Oryctolagus cuniculus: one gene and its partners. The protein of the gene in region 1 binds, or shares a complex with, the protein of each later gene. Links are inferred from orthologs where the notes say so. Each region holds a gene or a part of one and is shown in the gene's direction. Other genes may lie near its edges.

What was found. Proteins that work in one complex are often made in the same cells at the same time.
Region 2: TMEM126B (region 1) and TMEM186 share a complex: the UniProt entries of both Homo sapiens proteins name them as parts of the mitochondrial complex. The link is inferred for Oryctolagus cuniculus from reciprocal best matches to the Homo sapiens genes TMEM126B and TMEM186.
Region 3: TMEM126B (region 1) and ACAD9 share a complex: the UniProt entries of both Homo sapiens proteins name them as parts of the mitochondrial complex. The link is inferred for Oryctolagus cuniculus from reciprocal best matches to the Homo sapiens genes TMEM126B and ACAD9.

Annotation. Positions count from the first base shown.
Region 1 is NC_091432.1:76,706,716-76,712,129, forward strand, and holds the start of TMEM126B (complex I assembly factor TMEM126B, mitochondrial), read left to right. Parts: upstream 1-1,559; 5' UTR 1,560-1,655; coding exon of another isoform or gene 1,656-1,736; 5' UTR 1,737-1,906; coding exon 1,907-2,002; intron 2,003-4,768; coding exon 4,769-4,890; intron 4,891-5,414. UniProt on the Homo sapiens protein: As part of the MCIA complex, involved in the assembly of the mitochondrial complex I. Participates in constructing the membrane arm of complex I.
Region 2 is NC_091450.1:27,395,134-27,400,721, forward strand, and holds TMEM186 (transmembrane protein 186), read left to right. Parts: upstream 1-2,141; 5' UTR 2,142-2,263; coding exon 2,264-2,266; intron 2,267-2,875; coding exon 2,876-3,514; 3' UTR 3,515-4,343; downstream 4,344-5,588. Other genes in the region: PMM2 (phosphomannomutase 2), read right to left, coding at 1,947-2,012. UniProt on the Homo sapiens protein: As part of the MCIA complex, required for efficient assembly of the mitochondrial complex I.
Region 3 is NC_091441.1:111,793,209-111,798,719, reverse strand, and holds the start of ACAD9 (complex I assembly factor ACAD9, mitochondrial), read left to right. Parts: upstream 1-1,966; 5' UTR 1,967-2,052; coding exon 2,053-2,202; intron 2,203-5,164; coding exon 5,165-5,258; intron 5,259-5,511. UniProt on the Homo sapiens protein: As part of the MCIA complex, primarily participates in the assembly of the mitochondrial complex I and therefore plays a role in oxidative phosphorylation.

The DNA of each region.
Region 1 (5,414 bases):
GAAGTTCAATGACTAACTCAATTAAGGCACAAACCAAATTCAGATGGCTGTCTCATTACTTTACACAGGATCAAATGCAAAGATGAACTGTTTAATTACAAAGATCTTCAAATCTTTAGAGAAAATCCTAAACTTATTTCCCCCGGAGGGGGGTAAAAAAGATGTGTAAGTTTGAACAGTTCTTTGGGGAAGAACACAGACTGAAAGGCCCCTTTCTATTTACTGGACCAGAAGTTCCAAATCTCACCCCCTTAGTAAGACAGGATCCAGCTTGCAGTCACTTTCATTTTTTTTCTTCTGTGCTCTCCAAGCACCCTCCCCTCCCGGTTTGATCCTTAATGCCCCTCTGAATCTGATCCTCTCGTGTATTAACTGAGAGGATTGAAAAGGAGGAAAGCAATCCCTTGGCATGGAGACATTAAAGTGACAGTGCTACTCAATGGGCACTTGATGCAGGATGAGTTGGCGAAGCAGATTTCTTCACACTGGAATCATTCACATCATGCCATCTCTTCGCATCCAAGCAGCTCCCTATCCGGCGAGGATAAACACTGAGCCAGTTCGAGAGAAGCCAAACCTTCCCCCAAAGGTGTTTTCAGAGACGCTGTGGTAGTATTAGGCGTGTAAGCATCAGCTTGTGCAAACGGTCCGCGATTTCCTAAATGAGAGCGTGCAGCTGCTTGGCTTCCACAGCCACCCTTTCTCTCAATCTCTCCGAACTACCCACCTTCCTTTTGCAGAAAAGACAAGCCACCTCTCTGCCACCGCTGGCCACCCTGCCCCTACCCTGTTTTTATATAAAAGAGCACTAAAATGTCCTGCACCCTCCACGCGACGAAGTGTTTCCTCAGGCAGAAGAAACAGCAGCACTAGAAATTATATAACTCTCGAATTTGGCTTCTCTAAGACATGGAGACTGGAGGGTCGGGGGTTGTCGGTCTGGGAAATCGCGCTGGGCATTTACCAAGCACAAAAGAACGCCAAGCCTTCTCGAGGCGCCCCCAACCCCCACCCCAACACACCCGCTGACAAGGGAAGCGTCTGAGAGGAAGGAGGGCAAATTTCTCTCCGGTCCCTTTCCGAGGGGGCCGAAAGGATGAAATATGAGGGGACTAAAGACTGGGAGAGAGGAGTAGTCGGTGCGAGGGGAGGAGGCTAGTCGAGGCTGCTCTGACGGAGCTGGGTGGTCGTGTTGGGGCTCTGAAGAGGAGGCGTCCGAGAAATCAGAACCTTAACACACGGGCTGGGTCTGACAGGCGAGTTCCTTCAAGCAGTAAAGGGGATGGGGGCGGCTAGTCCCCAGCTAACAGGGCTGCCCTGAGGAGAGGAAGGCGCGCAGTAACACTGCTACACTCGGGACGCCCCTCGCCGCTCAGCACGGCTGCAGAAGGGGGAGGGTTGACTGACAAATAGCAGGGGGAGGAAATCCAGGAGGGCAGGAGGGGCGGGCCCACGGGCGTCTGGCCCACGAAGCCAATGAGTGGCGGTAATTCCTGCACGCGGAGCCCAATCACAGCGAGGATGGAGGGCGCGGCTTTTGACTGGGTGGGGGCTGCTTCGGGCTGTCGGCGAGAGGCGAGAGTCGTAAACCAACTCCACTTCCAGCCCAGGGCGTTCTGGGTCCCGCCCACTCGCAAGTCACGTGAGCTGCCAAAATGGCGGCGCTGAGGGGTGAGGCTGGTGCAGACGTGAAAGATGCCGGTGTGGTACCATTAGGAACTGGGGAAGCGCCCAAGGTAGGCAGAAGCCCGGAGTTGTATAGACAGTGCTTTCGCAGCCTCTTCTGAGGTGACTCACAGAAAGTGAATCTGAAAATCTGCAGTGAACAGCGCCCGTGCCCATTCAGGGCAGTATCAAGTCCCCTACGTAGGAAGCGCAGATAACGTGGAAGACCCAAAGACTATTCATGAAGCTTTTCTCTTGCTTTCGATCCTTTGTACGGGATTTTCCTTCAACTTGGAATACTTCCCTGCTCCTCCCTTCTCCTCTTTCGGATATTCATGTAAATATCACTTTCTCCGGTTGATATTTCTTCCTTGACCATATTCCTTTTAAAAAAAAATGAACCGTCATTCTGCGTTTAAATTTCCTGTTTTTGTTTTGTTGTTGACTGCCTGCTACTCAGAGGCCTGGCTTTTAGGGGTGCTCTTTAAATGATAAACGAATATAGAATAGAACCCTGAGCCGGCGCCGTGGCTCAATAGGCTAATCCTCCACCTTGCGGCGCCGGCACACCGGGTTCTAGTCCCGGTTGGGGCGCCGGATTCTGTCCCGGTTGCCCCTCTTCCAGGCCAGCTCTCTGCTATGGCCAGGGAGTGCAGTGGAGGATGGCCCAGGTGCTTGGGCCCTGCACCCCATGGGAGACCAGGAAAAGCACCTGGCTCCTGGCTCCTGCCAGGATCAGCGCGGTGCGCCGGCTGCAGCGGCGGCCATTGGAGGGTGAACCAACGGCAAAGGAAGACCTTTCTCTCTGTCTCTCTCTCTCACTGTCCACTCTGCCTGTCAAAAAAAAAAAAAAAAAAAAAAAAAGAACCCTGAAAGTCGGGTAAAGTGACATACATAAAAGCATTATAAAGGTTTAAAACGCTGTGCAGACTGTAAAACTACATTGATGCACTCTTATTGGTATGAGTGTAGTGACAAGTTGAAAGCTTGGACTAATTGATTTTTAGATAAAGTATTCGTTATCACAAAATCTTTATCTTTCAATGTTTGGTAAAAGTCTTATTCCTTTCTTCTAATGGGGAGACTGTAAGGAAAGCAGTTATTTTGATAGTGCCTTGCAAAGACTAAGCAAGTACTCAGTAAATATTAGCTGTTCTCATCTCATGTCCTGTATTCAAATTCCTAGGTGTTTGTTTTCCTAATACAAAACTGAGTGTGTAGACTAGGTAGCAGATTGGTACAAGACATTGCCTTCAAGTTTTCTTTGTGAGAGTTGGAGGTCTTCAATCATTTGAAAGACAGCAAAACAAAACTTTATGTAACATATTGAGTTAATCACATGACATTACTGACTGATACCTGACTTCATAGTATACTACATGGGCTAGGTACAGAATCTCTTTGACACTACTCTCCTCTCTTCCATTCTTCATGTGAATGTCAGGGGGAAGCAATTGTTTCCTGAAAAATTGTAATTTGTTGTTTTTTTTTTTCCTCTCCTGCCAAATATTTTAAAGAGACTGAAGCACTGTTCTGGAATGACACAGTTTAAGAAACTGGTCCATTATTACTCTTTTTTTTTTTTTAACACCATAAGAAGGTTCAAAGAAGCCCCTACCTTCTATATATATGTGGATGACATTGGGCAATGCATGGTTTATCCCTTCAGCACAGTTAGGATTGGTACATATCAATTACACGCCAAATGCCTACTTCACAGGTGTTCAACATACATCCATTAACCATGACAGTAGAAGCACCTGGTGCTATTAAAATGCACTTTGTAGGTCTTACCCCACTCATTGAATCCTTATACCTCAGGAAAGAGCTCAAAAGACTGCATTTAAAATAAACACCCCTTTGTGTTTATTGTGCACACTACAGGTTCAGAACTGCTAAACTGTTCATTATATATAATCTACTCTGCTTCGCTTGCCCACAACTCCTGAAATTTGGAATTTAGTATAGACCCTTCATTATAAAAGTTGTTAAAATGGAGATTGGTGTTAAAATTTTGAAGGCTCTTTAATTTTGTATCTATACATTGGCTAGTCTAGAGGAGATAGAGGGAAAAAGCAATAAATTTTCATAATTTACTGTTGTAATGGGTAAATATTTGTAACACCAAATTTGGATTTGTAAAAATTTTCGTATTTCCTTCTTTAAATAAAATTAAATACTACTCTTAAACCCTAAATTGTCATAATGGCAAAAGATTTGAATCATGTTATTGTTAAGACTTTTCAGAGACCCAAGAGCCTTATTATCCAGAGCAAAGCAGTTTGTTTTTACCTCATTGGCTTCTGTTATGCTACCAGCCAAGGCCTCGTGGTTTCTTGATGTTGGCAACTATCTATTCATTACCCTGGGAACATAGGAACCTTTGAACTACAGAGCCCAGTGTCCTAAGCCTAGGATCCCTGGTATACTAAATAGTCATTTCTGGTAAAAGGCCCTGCTTCTGCCTCAGGTACAATTAGAAAACTGGGTATATAACTTTCATAATCCAAGATAGCCATGGTCCACTTCCTAGAACAGAGTCCTGTCTGATTTTCTCCCTCACTATTCTCCAAGATAATCCCACTTTTCTCTTACTTCTTCAGGAAACTCAACATAATCTCCAAAATGAGCTCCAGCTTTCAAAAGAAACAGGATAGATAGTTGTCACCAAGTGCAATTGTTTCTACTCCTCAACAGAGGAGCTACAGCAAATAGGGCCTGGCTACTTTGCTGGGCTGAGGAAATGGGGAAACTGTACAGAAGACAAAAACTTAGTATTTTGGGAAATTTATCCTTCTACACTAAATCCTACCACAAGTCAAACTTTTTGAACCTGTTTTATCATCTTTAACACAAGAGATGATTATTATCCTACCTGTTTCTCAAAGTTATTGTGTGACTCAAAAGGCCTTTGTCTAACGTAATAAGATCTTAGTTAAATGTTGATTGAATCAATCATAGAAAGTATGTGAGAACACATGACATGGTATGTGGCACATTACTAGATTCTGAATGTATTTTTCATTTAAACCTATAGAATTTTAAGGTTTTTGTTAGTATTAGTATCATTAGCTATGTGATTCTGGAATTTTGTGTTTTCCAGGACATCAGAATGGCAACATATACACGTGGTCAGCCTAGTCCTTCTCTAAGAGATGCAAAACTCGGAAGACCAATGGTCATCGAAATCATAGAAAAAAAATTTGAATATCTTCGAAAAGAAAAGTAAGAGATACCCAGACTGAAAGTTGATAACTTTATTTGCACATCTTTTGTACTGCCATTGTTTCTGAGGAGTATCTAAGATCCTACTAACTTTATTGGGTTTGTTTTGAAGAAAACCTGTTTTAAAAAACTGGACAGAAACATGGACAGATGAAAATAGTGCTTTATTGGGATTGTGGATAATTTACTTCTTAAAAATGGTCCAAAATTATTGCTGAAACATTGTAGTAAATATTTTTTGATTAACAGTAATTAGGAGAGGGGCCAGCACTGTGGTGTATAGGTTAAGCCTCTGCCTGCAGTGCCAGCATCCATATGGACACCATTTCATGTCTAGGCTGCTCCTCTTCAAACCAGCTCTCTGCTTATGGCTTGGAAAAGCAGCAGAGGATGGCCCAAGAGCTCAGGCCCCTGTGCCTACATAGGAGACCTGGAAGAAGTTCCTGGCTCCTGGCTTCAGATCAGCCTAGCTCTGGCCATTGTGGCCATTTGGGGAATAAACCAGCAGATGGAAGTACTGTCTG
Region 2 (5,588 bases), on another chromosome or scaffold:
CCCAGGCCACTATGGTCCATGGGACAAACCGAGCAGTTGTTTTCTTAAAAAAAAAAAAAAAAAAAAAATTGTTTATTTGAGAGATACAGGGAGAGGGAGAGGGAGAAGAAGAAGTAGACACAGAGAGAGTGAACTTCAAAGGTCTGCACAGCCAGGGCTGGGCCAGGCTGAAGTTAGGAGCTGGGAACTCAACCTGTATCTCCCATGTGGGTGGCAGGGACCCGAGGTGCAATCAGGAGTGGGGCCAGGACTCAAACCCAGGCACTCCACGGTGGGAGGCTGGAGTTCCAAGTGCTGCTTTAACCATATGCTACGTACCTGCCCCAGATGTTGGCTTTTCTAATAAAGCAGGCCTGTACTGGAACACAGCCACCCCATGTTTTTGCACGGTCTACAGCTGCTTTTGCAATAAGCTGAGTAGTTATTGCAGACCATATGGTCTGCAAAGACTACAACATTTACTATACGGCTTTTCTTAAAAAATGAATTGCTGGCTGCAGTTCTAGGCCAGCATGGTTTTTTTTTTTTTTTTTTTTTTTTTTTTGACAGGCAGAGTTAGGCAGTGAGAGACACAGAAAGGTTTTCCTTCTCTTGGTTCAACCCCCAAAATGGCCGCTACGGTGCTGCGCTGATCCGAAGGCAGGAGCCAGGTGCTTCTCCTGGTCTCCCATGGGGTGCAGGGCCCAAGCACTTGGGCCATCCTCCACTGCACTCCCTGGCCACAGCAGAGAGCTGGCCTGGAAGAGGGGCAACCGGGACAGAATGCGGCGCCCCGACCGGGACTAGAACCTGGTGTGCCGGCGCCGCCAGGCGGAGGATTAGCCTAGTGAGCCGCGGCGCCGGCCGCCAGTAAGGGCTTTTAACAACCCACAGGTGTGTGCTGACTGCTGCCTCCCATGGCTGGTGTTCCTGCGACCAGTCTGTACAAGGGAGAGCCTCGCCACGAAGCTGATCGTAGCTGAAACGTACGCGCGCCCGCAGCAGGCAGATCTGAGCGCGGGGGGCACGCTTCCAAGGGTGCAGAGACTCACCAGGCTGCCTGTGACGACCTAGGACGTCCCCCCGACCCCGACCCCGACCCCGGCAGGGGCTGCACAGGGCGGGTGGAGACGGCCCGTGCTTACGGAGGCCTACTGCGAGCAGACACCTTGCATTTGGTCCTATTCGGATGACACGTAACAAGCACTGTCCCCGCTTCCGGCTGGGGCTAACTGGCCCAAGCTGAGGCTCCGCTAGGTCCTCTGGACTAGGAAATCTACACTTTCTTTCTTTAAGATTTATCTATTTGAGGGCAGAGTTGCAGACAGAGAGAGGTCGAGATAGAGAGAGGGGGTCTTCCACCCAAGGGCTCACTCCCTAAATGGCCGCAAGGGCCGCGGCTGCGCTGATCCGAAGCCAGGAGCTTCTTCCGGGTCTCCCACATGGGTGCAGGGGCCCAAGGACCGGGCCCGTCCACTGCAGCTTTCCCAGGCCATCAGCAGGGAGCCGGATCCGAAGTGGAGCAGGTGGGACTCAACCCGGCGCCCATATGGGATGCCGGCGCCGCAGGCACACGGATGTTTAACTAGTAACAGCCGCAGCGCCGGCCCGAACCCTGCGCTTTCAGCATCTCGCTCCAAGGTCCAGCCACGCGCGACGGGACGGGGAAGGTCACACAGCTGCTGAGGGGGCCTCGGCTGGGGTTCAGGGCTCGCGGCCAGAGAACGGGCTGCTTGTTCTAACCCAAGTTTCCCGACCCCGCCCTCCCTCTCCGAGCACCCCGGGATCTTGACGAGCTGCTTCAGGCCCGTCTCCCGCCGCTGGGGCACCCAGACCAAGGGCAGCCCCTGGAGGCGGGAGGCGGTCCTCAGTTGCACCCAGGCACCCAAGCTGGACGGTCGTTCGTCCCGTCTAGGAGCAGAAAGTGCTCCGTGCCGGCTGCCGCCAGCCCTCTGCGCGCCGCCTACCTGCCGCGGGGCGGTCAGGGTCCCGTCCACGTCGAAGAGGCAAAGCGCTGGTCCCGGAGCTGCCATGGCCCCCGTTTCCGTCCACACCTGAGACGACTCGTTGGCACCCGGACCTCGACCCGGAACTTCCGGGTTCGGCCCTCTTCGCCGCAGAGCACGTCGGGAAGAGACTCCCACAGCCTCCCACAATGCCCGGGGCTAGCGTCGGCCACGGACGCTACACCACAACTCCCAGCATGCAACGCGCGTAGTCCGAGCATGCGCCCTTAGAGTTTCCGGCGGCGGTGAGGTTGTATCCGGCGCCAGGGAGCAGGGCCATGGTAAGGAGGAGGGTGATGGGCTGCGTCGGGGTCGGAGCCAGTGTTGGGGCAAACAGGCAGGAATCCTGAGCTTCTGGTTTGTTGGGTCCTGGGGCGATTGCCCCGATGTGGGTTACGATGTGCTCCTCCACGGCTTGCTGTGGTCTTGCGGGGTCACGTGGGCCAGCAGCGGTGCTAGCGAGCCTCGCGGGGGTGCTCAGGGTGGGCCCCGAGCAGTCGGCGCTGCTTATCCGTGCGCTCCCCATCCATGGATTCACTCAGCTGCCGAGACAGCTGCGTCTGTGCGGAACGCCTACGGGCTCTTGCTACTCCCAAAGGAATCCCCCATAACCACTCTTTACGCCGCGTTTCCATCGTAGTAGTGGTATAAGGTATCACACAAACACTGTGCCATTTTGCATAAGAGACGTGAGCCCTCTGGTTTGGGTGTCTTGTCGTGCATCCCGGAACCAAGCCCCTGCCGGTGCTGATGCACAGTGGTGCTGCGTTTACGGCGTAAAAACCGTTGTCTCGTTCAGTGTGTTCTGAGTGCCCGTTGGTAAAGCCTAACGAACTCACGCAGGTGGAAGCCGAGTTCTGAGAGGAAACGGTCTCTTGTCTCCCTTCCAGGCTGCCCTCCTCCGAGCTGTGCCCAGGTGGCGGGGGCCGGCCGCCTGGGGAAAGCCCCTCTGCGGGCTGTGGTCCTGCGGTGGGCGAGAGGATCCCAAGAGGTGGGTGCGGAGCAGGTCTCCCGGTTCCGAGGAGAAAGCCCCGGGCACAGAGACCGAGAAGTTCCAGATGGTCTACCGTTTCGATGCCATCAGAGCGTTTGGGTACATATCTCGGCTGAAGGTGGCGCAGACGGCCCTGACGCTGGTGGCTCTGCCGCCCGGCTTCTACTGGTACTCCCAGGGCCTCATGCCGCTCGACTCGCTGTGCCTGGTGGGTGGCATAGCTGGCTTCGCCCTGGCCATGCTGTGCTGGATGAGCCATTTCTTCCGCAGGCTCGTAGGCATCCTGTATGTGAACGAGTCGGGCACCGTGCTGCGGGTGGCTCACCTCACCTTCTGGGGCTGGCGACAGGACACGTACTGCCCCGTGGCGGACGTGGTCCCCCTGACGGAGACGAGGGACCGGCCCCACGAGGTGTTTGTGCGCATCCAGCAGTACAGCGGGAAGCAGACCTTCTACCTACCTCTGCGCTACGGGCGCGTCCTGGACAGAGAGCGCTTCACACAGGTGTTTGGGAGACTGGACTCGCTCAAGTGATCAGCTGGGCCTCTGGGAAGCCCTGGGCCCCTTGGGTCACTAACCAAGAAGGCTGAGGGTGTAGACGAGGCCGAAGGAGGGAATCGGGCCCCTAGAGACTGTCAGAACCCTGGGAGTTTGTCTTTTCGGAAGAACACAGAAATTCGGACCCAGGTTTACGGGAAGGCGCCCGAGTGCGGATTCTTCCTGCACTTGCGCGTGCTGTTCTTGCAGATAATGGCCAGGAGGTTCTGTTCGGATCCAGTTCTTGGAGGAAGCTATGCCACGGTCACCCGGACAGTTCACGGGTATTTGGAAGACAGATGTGGGAGGAGCACAGGGTTTGGGGTGCTGTCAGCTCGCTGTTCTGGGCAGCTGACGGAGTCTGTGTGAGCCTTGGTTTCTCACGTCTGTCAAACGGAAAGTTCTTTCTGTCTCGTGGGCTGGATGTCAGAACACACAGTAAACATGCAAGGCCGTAGCCCTGGGCGACTGGGAAGCGTCTGCTCAGAGGTGGTGGTCGGGGCTTTCAGGCAGCGCGCGGGAGCCCTGTGTTCTGCCTCTCCATGCACCCCTTAGCAGAAGAGTGGGACGAAGCGTGGCGGGGGCATTGCACCCTCCCAGGATGGTAACTGCACCCCGAGTGAGGCGCGACGCCCCAGCTGAGATGTTCCGCACCCACAGGCCGAGGCCGTCCCGCTGCGTCATGGAGCCAGATGGGTGTGTGTAGTGCTCTACCTCTGCGTGTTGCCTCCCGTGATCGGTGTGTGTGTCGGCCACGTAGCTTGTAGCAGGGTAAAGGTCTTCGTGATTTTGCCACGCATAAGTCAATAAATTTCGTATCACCTCTGTTTTCATTGTCATGTACTCATCACAAATGTATCGTTGTAACCATGTTAAGTGTACAGTTCAGGGACAGTAAGTACATTTGCAGTGTGGTGTAACCACCCCCACAGTTCACCCCCAGAAGTTTTTCACCATCCCAGGGCCTCTGTACCCACAGAGCAGCACTCGCTCTCCCGTTGGCAGCCACTAATCCCCTTCTGCCTTAGAATCTGCCTGTCTGGACATGGCATGGCCTGGAATCACACAGTATGTGCCCTTTCGTGACTGGCTTCGTTGGCTTGGTGTGATGTTTTCAACGTGTGGGTAGCGTGTAGTGGCATGTAATTCTTCCTTATAGCTGGACGGTATTGTTCCGTGTACTGCCACGTTTGTCTCTGTTCATGTGCTGGGGGACGTTGGGATTATTTTCACCTTTGGGTGCATCCCAAGATGTGGGACTCCTAGGTCCTCTGGTAATTCTGTGTTTAACCATTGGAGGACCTGCCAGACTTTTTACAGTGGCTATGCCGGGTTACATTCCCATTGCAATGTCCAGAGGTTCTCTCCCCTCCCTGCCTCCCCCCTCCCCTTCCCTTTTTTAAAGATTTATTATTTATTTGAGAGGCAGAGTTACAGAGAGAAGGAGAGACAAGATCTCCCACTCACTGGTTCACACTCCAAATGGCCACAATGACCAGCTCTGTCAGGAGCTTCTTCCGGGTGAGGGGCCCAAGGACTTGGGCCGTCCTCTGCTGCTTTCCCAGGGGCATTAGCAGGGAGCCAGATCAGAAGTGGAGCAGCCAGCACTGGAACCAGCGCCCAATGGGATGCCGGTGCTGCAGGCTGAGGCTTTAAGCCACTGCGCCACACCTTCGGCCCCAGGGGTTCCGAGTTCTCTACATTCTCTCCAGCACTGCTTATTTCCCATTGTTCTGCTTATTGCCGTCCCAGTGGCTGTGAAGTAGTAAGTCATTGTGCGTGCAGAGTTTTTAAAAACAGTTGTTCTTTTTTTTTTTTTTTTTTTTTTTTCTGACAGGCAGAGTGGATAGTGAGAGAGAGAGAGACAGAGAGAAAGGTCTTCCTTTTGCCATTGGTTCACCCTCCAATGGCCGCCACAGCTGGCGTGCTGTGGCCAGCGCACAGCGCTGATCCGATGGCAGGAGCCGGGTACTTATCCTGGTCTCCCATGGGGTGCAGGGCCCAAGGACCTGGGCCATCCTCCACTGCACTCCCTGGCCACAGCAGAGAGCTGGCCTGGAAGAGGGGCAAC
Region 3 (5,511 bases), on another chromosome or scaffold:
TTGTTATGCGCCGGACACCTTGCACTCCCCTTCCCCACCTTTGGCAAGACACGTCTTCCCTTTTTCCTCACCCTCACCCCCAAGGAAAATACATTTGTTTTAGAACCCCAAAACCTGGACCAACTCACTGACATTGGGGTGGTAGAACAAAGTATTTATTATCAAAGCACTGAGCAGGGACCAGGCAGCTATTACTTAATTACCCTGAGGAGTTAGAGCCAGGGGTCTTGGGGCTGGCGCTGTGGTATAGCAGGTAAAGCTGCCACCTGCGGCACCGGCATCCTATATGGACGCCAGTTGGAGCCCTGGCTGCTCCACTTCCGGTCCTTCTCCCTGCTAGTGCTTCTGGGAAAGCAACAGAAGATGGCCCAAGTGCTTGAGCCGCTGCACCCATCTGGGAGACCTGGAGGAAGCTCCTAGCTCCTGACTGGTAGCTTTGGGATCTGCAGGGGAGAAGGCCCACACTTCCAGGAATGGAGAGTCCGTACCCCCACTTCCAGGAATGAAAAGTCCTTGCCAAGGTCCCTGCAGGCACCTAAAGGTCAACCAATGAGGATCAGGCCCGCCTCAACCTTTAACCCCCACACCCTGTACCTGTGTAAGGAGCCCTCCCAACCTCTGACACCTGACTTCCCCGGCCCCGCCCTGTTGGGCTGGGAACCTCGCCCAGGAGTGGAATCCCAATGAAAGCCTGTAAACTGATTGATCTGGCTGGGAAGATTTGTTTCGCGCTGGACACCTTGCACTGGCTTTAGGTTAGCCCAGCCCTGGCCATTGTGGATGGAACCAGCAGATGGAAGATATCTTTCTCTTCCTCTCTGCTTGTTTCTCCTTCTCTGTTAACTCTTTCAAATAAATAAAGCTTATTTTAAAAAAATATGGTCAGAGATCTTATAGATGGTTTTGGGATTGAGAAGTGTTTTTCATTCTTGTGCTGATCTTTGCCCTTCTTTGATTGACCAGCAATATCAGGTTCTTTCGGGAATTTTGATGATGGCAAAATACGCTCCAGTTAGGGGGGCTTGTAGCAGACGGGCCGGTATTTTTTACTCAGGGCTTGGGACTCCCAAAAAAACCCTTGAAGACCAAGATCTTGGTCTTGAAGACCAAGATCCAGCAAGATGTCAGCTGGAAAAGAGGTCAATGAACTCACAAATCTTGTGATGTGGGACCCTGTGGGGCAGCAAGACTCAATGTCCCATTCCCTCAATTAAGTGAATTTAAGAAGCAGTTGATTTGCAATCACATTGAGGCCGGGGAAGTGAGTTCTAATTTTTATTCCAGGCCCTGGAGAAGCAGTCTAACTACAGGCACATATGCAGCGCACAAAGTGGCAAACAAAGCTTTAAAAGGGAGAATGCAAACACGCACGCGGGTGGGCAGGGTGAGCAGAAGGGTCCTCGAGGAGAAAAGGGTGGGAGAGGGGAAGTAGAGAGGGTTGGCTTCAGACCCTGCTCCCGGCCCGCTCTGCACGGAGAGACGGCTCGGTTCTGGGGTCCTGGGCTGACTGTCCTGGGTCAGCAGAACAAGTAACCCTTAGGGCTACGGGAGAAGTCGGAGTGTGGGAGACTAAAGCGTGGTAGCAGGCAGCATCGACAGCCAGGCACGGCAGAGGGGCTCAGCGTCACATCCCCGTGAGCTACAAAGGAAGACAAAAGGGTCCCGGCGATTCCACCCTCCACTTAAAAGCAAGAAGCATGCCCCATGCTGTGAGCTCCCTGCAGAGGTAACCAACACCGTGCATTGCTTTGCATTGCCTCATTGACGGGGGCAAATGGGAGCACTTAGATTCCCGTTCGCCTGGGAAGCATAGTCCTAGGGCCTGCACTTTTGCAAACGACCGGCAGCCACCGTAAGCCTGAGCCTGAACCCAACAAAACTGCACGGACCCCGCCTAGCCACCCTCGCTCTCCAGGGGCGGCTGGCGGCGCAAGCGCAGTGGGTGCGGCGGCGCCGGCCAATGGCGTCATCAGGAGGCGCGGCCCGGGTGCCCTTGGCTGAGGCGCGGCGCTCGAGCCTGCACTTTCAGCGCCCGGAGCGGACGCCGGCAGCATGAGCGGCTGCGGGCTAATCCTGCGCACGGCGGCGGCCGCGCGAGTCTGTCGGGCTCTGGTGGCCTTCACGGAGAGCCGGCGCCCGCTGCGCACCAGCCCGCGGAGCGCGACTTTCGCCAAGGAGCTCTTCCTGGGCAAGATCGAGAAGGTAAGGCGAGCCCCGGGCCGACCGCTGCTCGCCGGTCACGGCAGGGCCGGAGCCCGCAAACGTGCCCGGCCAGATGTTCCCGAGGGGCGGTCCGTGCCGCAACCCCGGGATCCGAACCCGCCGGAGCCTTCCCAGGGGCCGGGGCCGGGTCCCCGGGCGGAGTGGCTTTGACAAGTCCCCGCGAGTTCTTCCAGGGAGTCTTGGGAGAGCCCTGGGGAGAGGTCGCCGAGCCACGCTCACCCGGGCTTTGCCGGCCCCCAAATGTGCGGGTTTTGCTTGTGGTACCTGAATCCCGCTCTGCCCAGGGCGCTCCTGGCACCTGTGGGGCCCCCCGGGGTTTCCCTCTGCGGCTGAGCCCTAGCCCCTCGCCCTGCCATTCAAGTTCTTCCTGAATCTGGCTCCGAGGTGCCCTCCGCCCCCTCCCTTCCGAGGATTGCACCACGCCCACAGCAACAATGTGGCTGCTGAACACCATCCTCTTTTGAAGACTGAGATTTGATCTTATCTCTGTGACTTTGAGCCTTGTCTCATTCGGCCTTAAAATGGAGCTGGTGGGTGTGTGTACCTCACAGATGTGTTGTAGAGCCCCTGTAGGGTTGATAGTGCATGGAAATTCTTCAGCTACAAGGGGCTCATTCATTCATTCATTCATTGATGCGTCTGCTGGTTCACTCCCCAAAATGCCTGTAATGGCCAAAGCTCATTCTCGGTCTCCCACATGGGTGACAGGAACCCAGTTGTTGGAGTTGTCACTGCTGCCTCCCAGATCTGTATCTGACCACCTTTAGGCTCAAGCACAGCTCCTCCTCTGGGTCAGGCCTCCCTCAGCATTTCTGGGTCTTTAGTAGGAACAGGGCAGCGACTATTAGCCTTTTAGAATAGAAAGAGAACCCCAGGTTATTGAGGCTGGTGAGCATCATTCTGCCCTTAGTTGGGGCAAAATTATAGGAAGGAGTGCCCCAGGGGCTCCTGCAGGGTTGAACGGGAGGCTGAGTCAGTGAGATTTGGGCCTCTCTTCTTATGAGCAGCCTCAATCAAGTTGCCTGGCTTTGATCTGTCTTACGTGACTTCTGCCCTAGATTTATGGGAATAACAGGTCTCCCTGCTTTACAAGTTTGAAAACTGTCCATTGCAACTGAGTTCCCCTCCCGTGAGGCACACCTGTCAGTTTTTGACCATTGTTGTCCAAGAACTCTTTCTCCCTGGCACCCGGGGCATCTCCCTGTAGCAGTTACCCTTTGGTTGTGGTCCAAGGCCACCAAGTTACCAGGCTGTCTCTATTCTGTCACGTGGCCTGCCCACCGATGTCAGTGATCATCCCCCTATCTCCTCCCATAGCCATTGCCCAGCTGACCAACAAGGCTAGGGAAGGGAGTGTGAGGGGGCAGTCGCCTCTGTTGGGCAGAGACAGCTTTGTCTCCAGAGGCTTGAGAGTGGTGACAGGTGTACCTGCCTTTCCTTCCAGACCCCCTTAGTAGAGGGTTGTGACAGAGAGGCAGGACACCGCTAAGTCTGCTGTCGCTTTTGGATAGGGTAGCCCCAATAAGCCTGCAGTCCTGGGGCCAGAGAGCTGAGGACAGATTGGGGAGCACGGTGCTGGAGTAGACAAGTCAGGTGGTCAATGAGATGTGCAGAGGCTGGGAACAAGGATGAGGACTTCTGTGACAACCTTCCTGAAGCTCCAGTGCCATGAGGACAGGCAGGGCTCCTGGGGCCTGGCAGCTTATAATAGGCACCCCCAAGTCCACTTCCTGGTGCCATGCTGGCTGCCGAAGGGTTAGTTGGAGTCCCAAGGCCAGAGGGGCTTTTGATACTGTGGAATGCTCTCCAGGGCCAGCAGGAGGGAATCCTGGGCTAGTCAGGGATTGGAAAGAGACTGGCAGCTAAGTCACTTTCCAGGTCACCAGGTGGGACAACAGTGGAGCCAGAAGCTGAGAACACTTACTTTATGTCCTGGGGCACGTGACCACAGTCACCTTCTGAGATAAAGAGAATCATCTGTGGGAGAGAACCGGACGGAGAGGGATGATGCAAGCTGCCCAGTCACCTGCGAGGAGTGGCTGTGCCAGGGTGAAGTTCAGGGCGATGTGGATCCACAGCTGGGCTTTGCTCTCTGATCCCACAGCACAGGGAGTGGCTGCAGCGACTGAGGGCCAGAGGCTCCGTGGTCAGATCTGGCAGCCACGCCGTGCTCCTGTCAGCAGCACCATTTTTAACTCAAAGTAACTGATGTAGGATTCTCTCCATTTTAGAAAAGACCTTTCTCATTCCGCCTTCCAGGATTCTCACAAGGAACTTGAGTCAACAGGAGCTTGGTGAGGTGAAGGGAGGTGGCTGCGGCCGCAGTTGGCAAGTGGCAAATCCAGGACCAGACTCAAGTCCTGGACTTCCTGTTCTATGGGACAGTCCTCATCACTTGTTATGGATAAGGAAAGTGGTGTGTGGGGAGGAAGATGGCCCTGGGACAGCCTGCATCTTAAGCGCTTGGTGTAGTCTTTATAACTGCAGTGAGTTGTGTCCTGCTGGCCAGATGAGGAATCTAGGATGCCCTTTTCTTTCCCCTTTCACCAATATTACTGCAGTAGGGGCTGCTAGGTATTAAATTTTCAGAGACTGGTGTTGTGGCACAGTGGGTTAGGCTGCCATCTGTGATGCTGACATCCCATTTAGGCGCCAGGCTGAATGGCTGCTTCATTTCTGATCCAGCTCCCTGCTGATGTGCCTGGGAAAGCGCTGGAAGACGGTCCAAGTGCTTGGGCCCCTGCCACCCACGTAGGGGACCTGGATGGCCTGCCAGGCTCCTCCTTTCAGCCTGGCCCAGCCCCAGCTGTTGGGGCCATTTGGAAAGTGAACCAGCAGATGGAATATTTGCTTTCTCCCCCCACCCCTTAACTCTGCCTTTTAAATAAATAAACAAGTCTTTTAAAAACTAACTATTTTTGTAAATGTTTATCATTTTTAGAAAGGAGTTTTCCCGTTTCCAGAAGTTAGCCAAGATGAACTTAATGAAATCAATCAGTTGGTGGGACCCGTAGAAAAATTCTTCATGGAAGAGGGTACGTATGGTTTTCCTTCTCATTGCCGATCTCCATCAGCAGAGCCATGATGCTGGTGTTTCTTTTAGAAGCAGCACACTGTAGGGGAAGCACTTTCGAGAGTTGTGAATGAGGGAGAAGTCAGTTTTATCAGAGTATCTTACTTTGGGATCATCTCAGTTGCTGATCCATTACAAGAATTCCAGTTCACTGCTTCTAGATGTGTCCGTGATAAAGGGCCACTTGTAAACATTTCCACGTGTATTGCAGACTT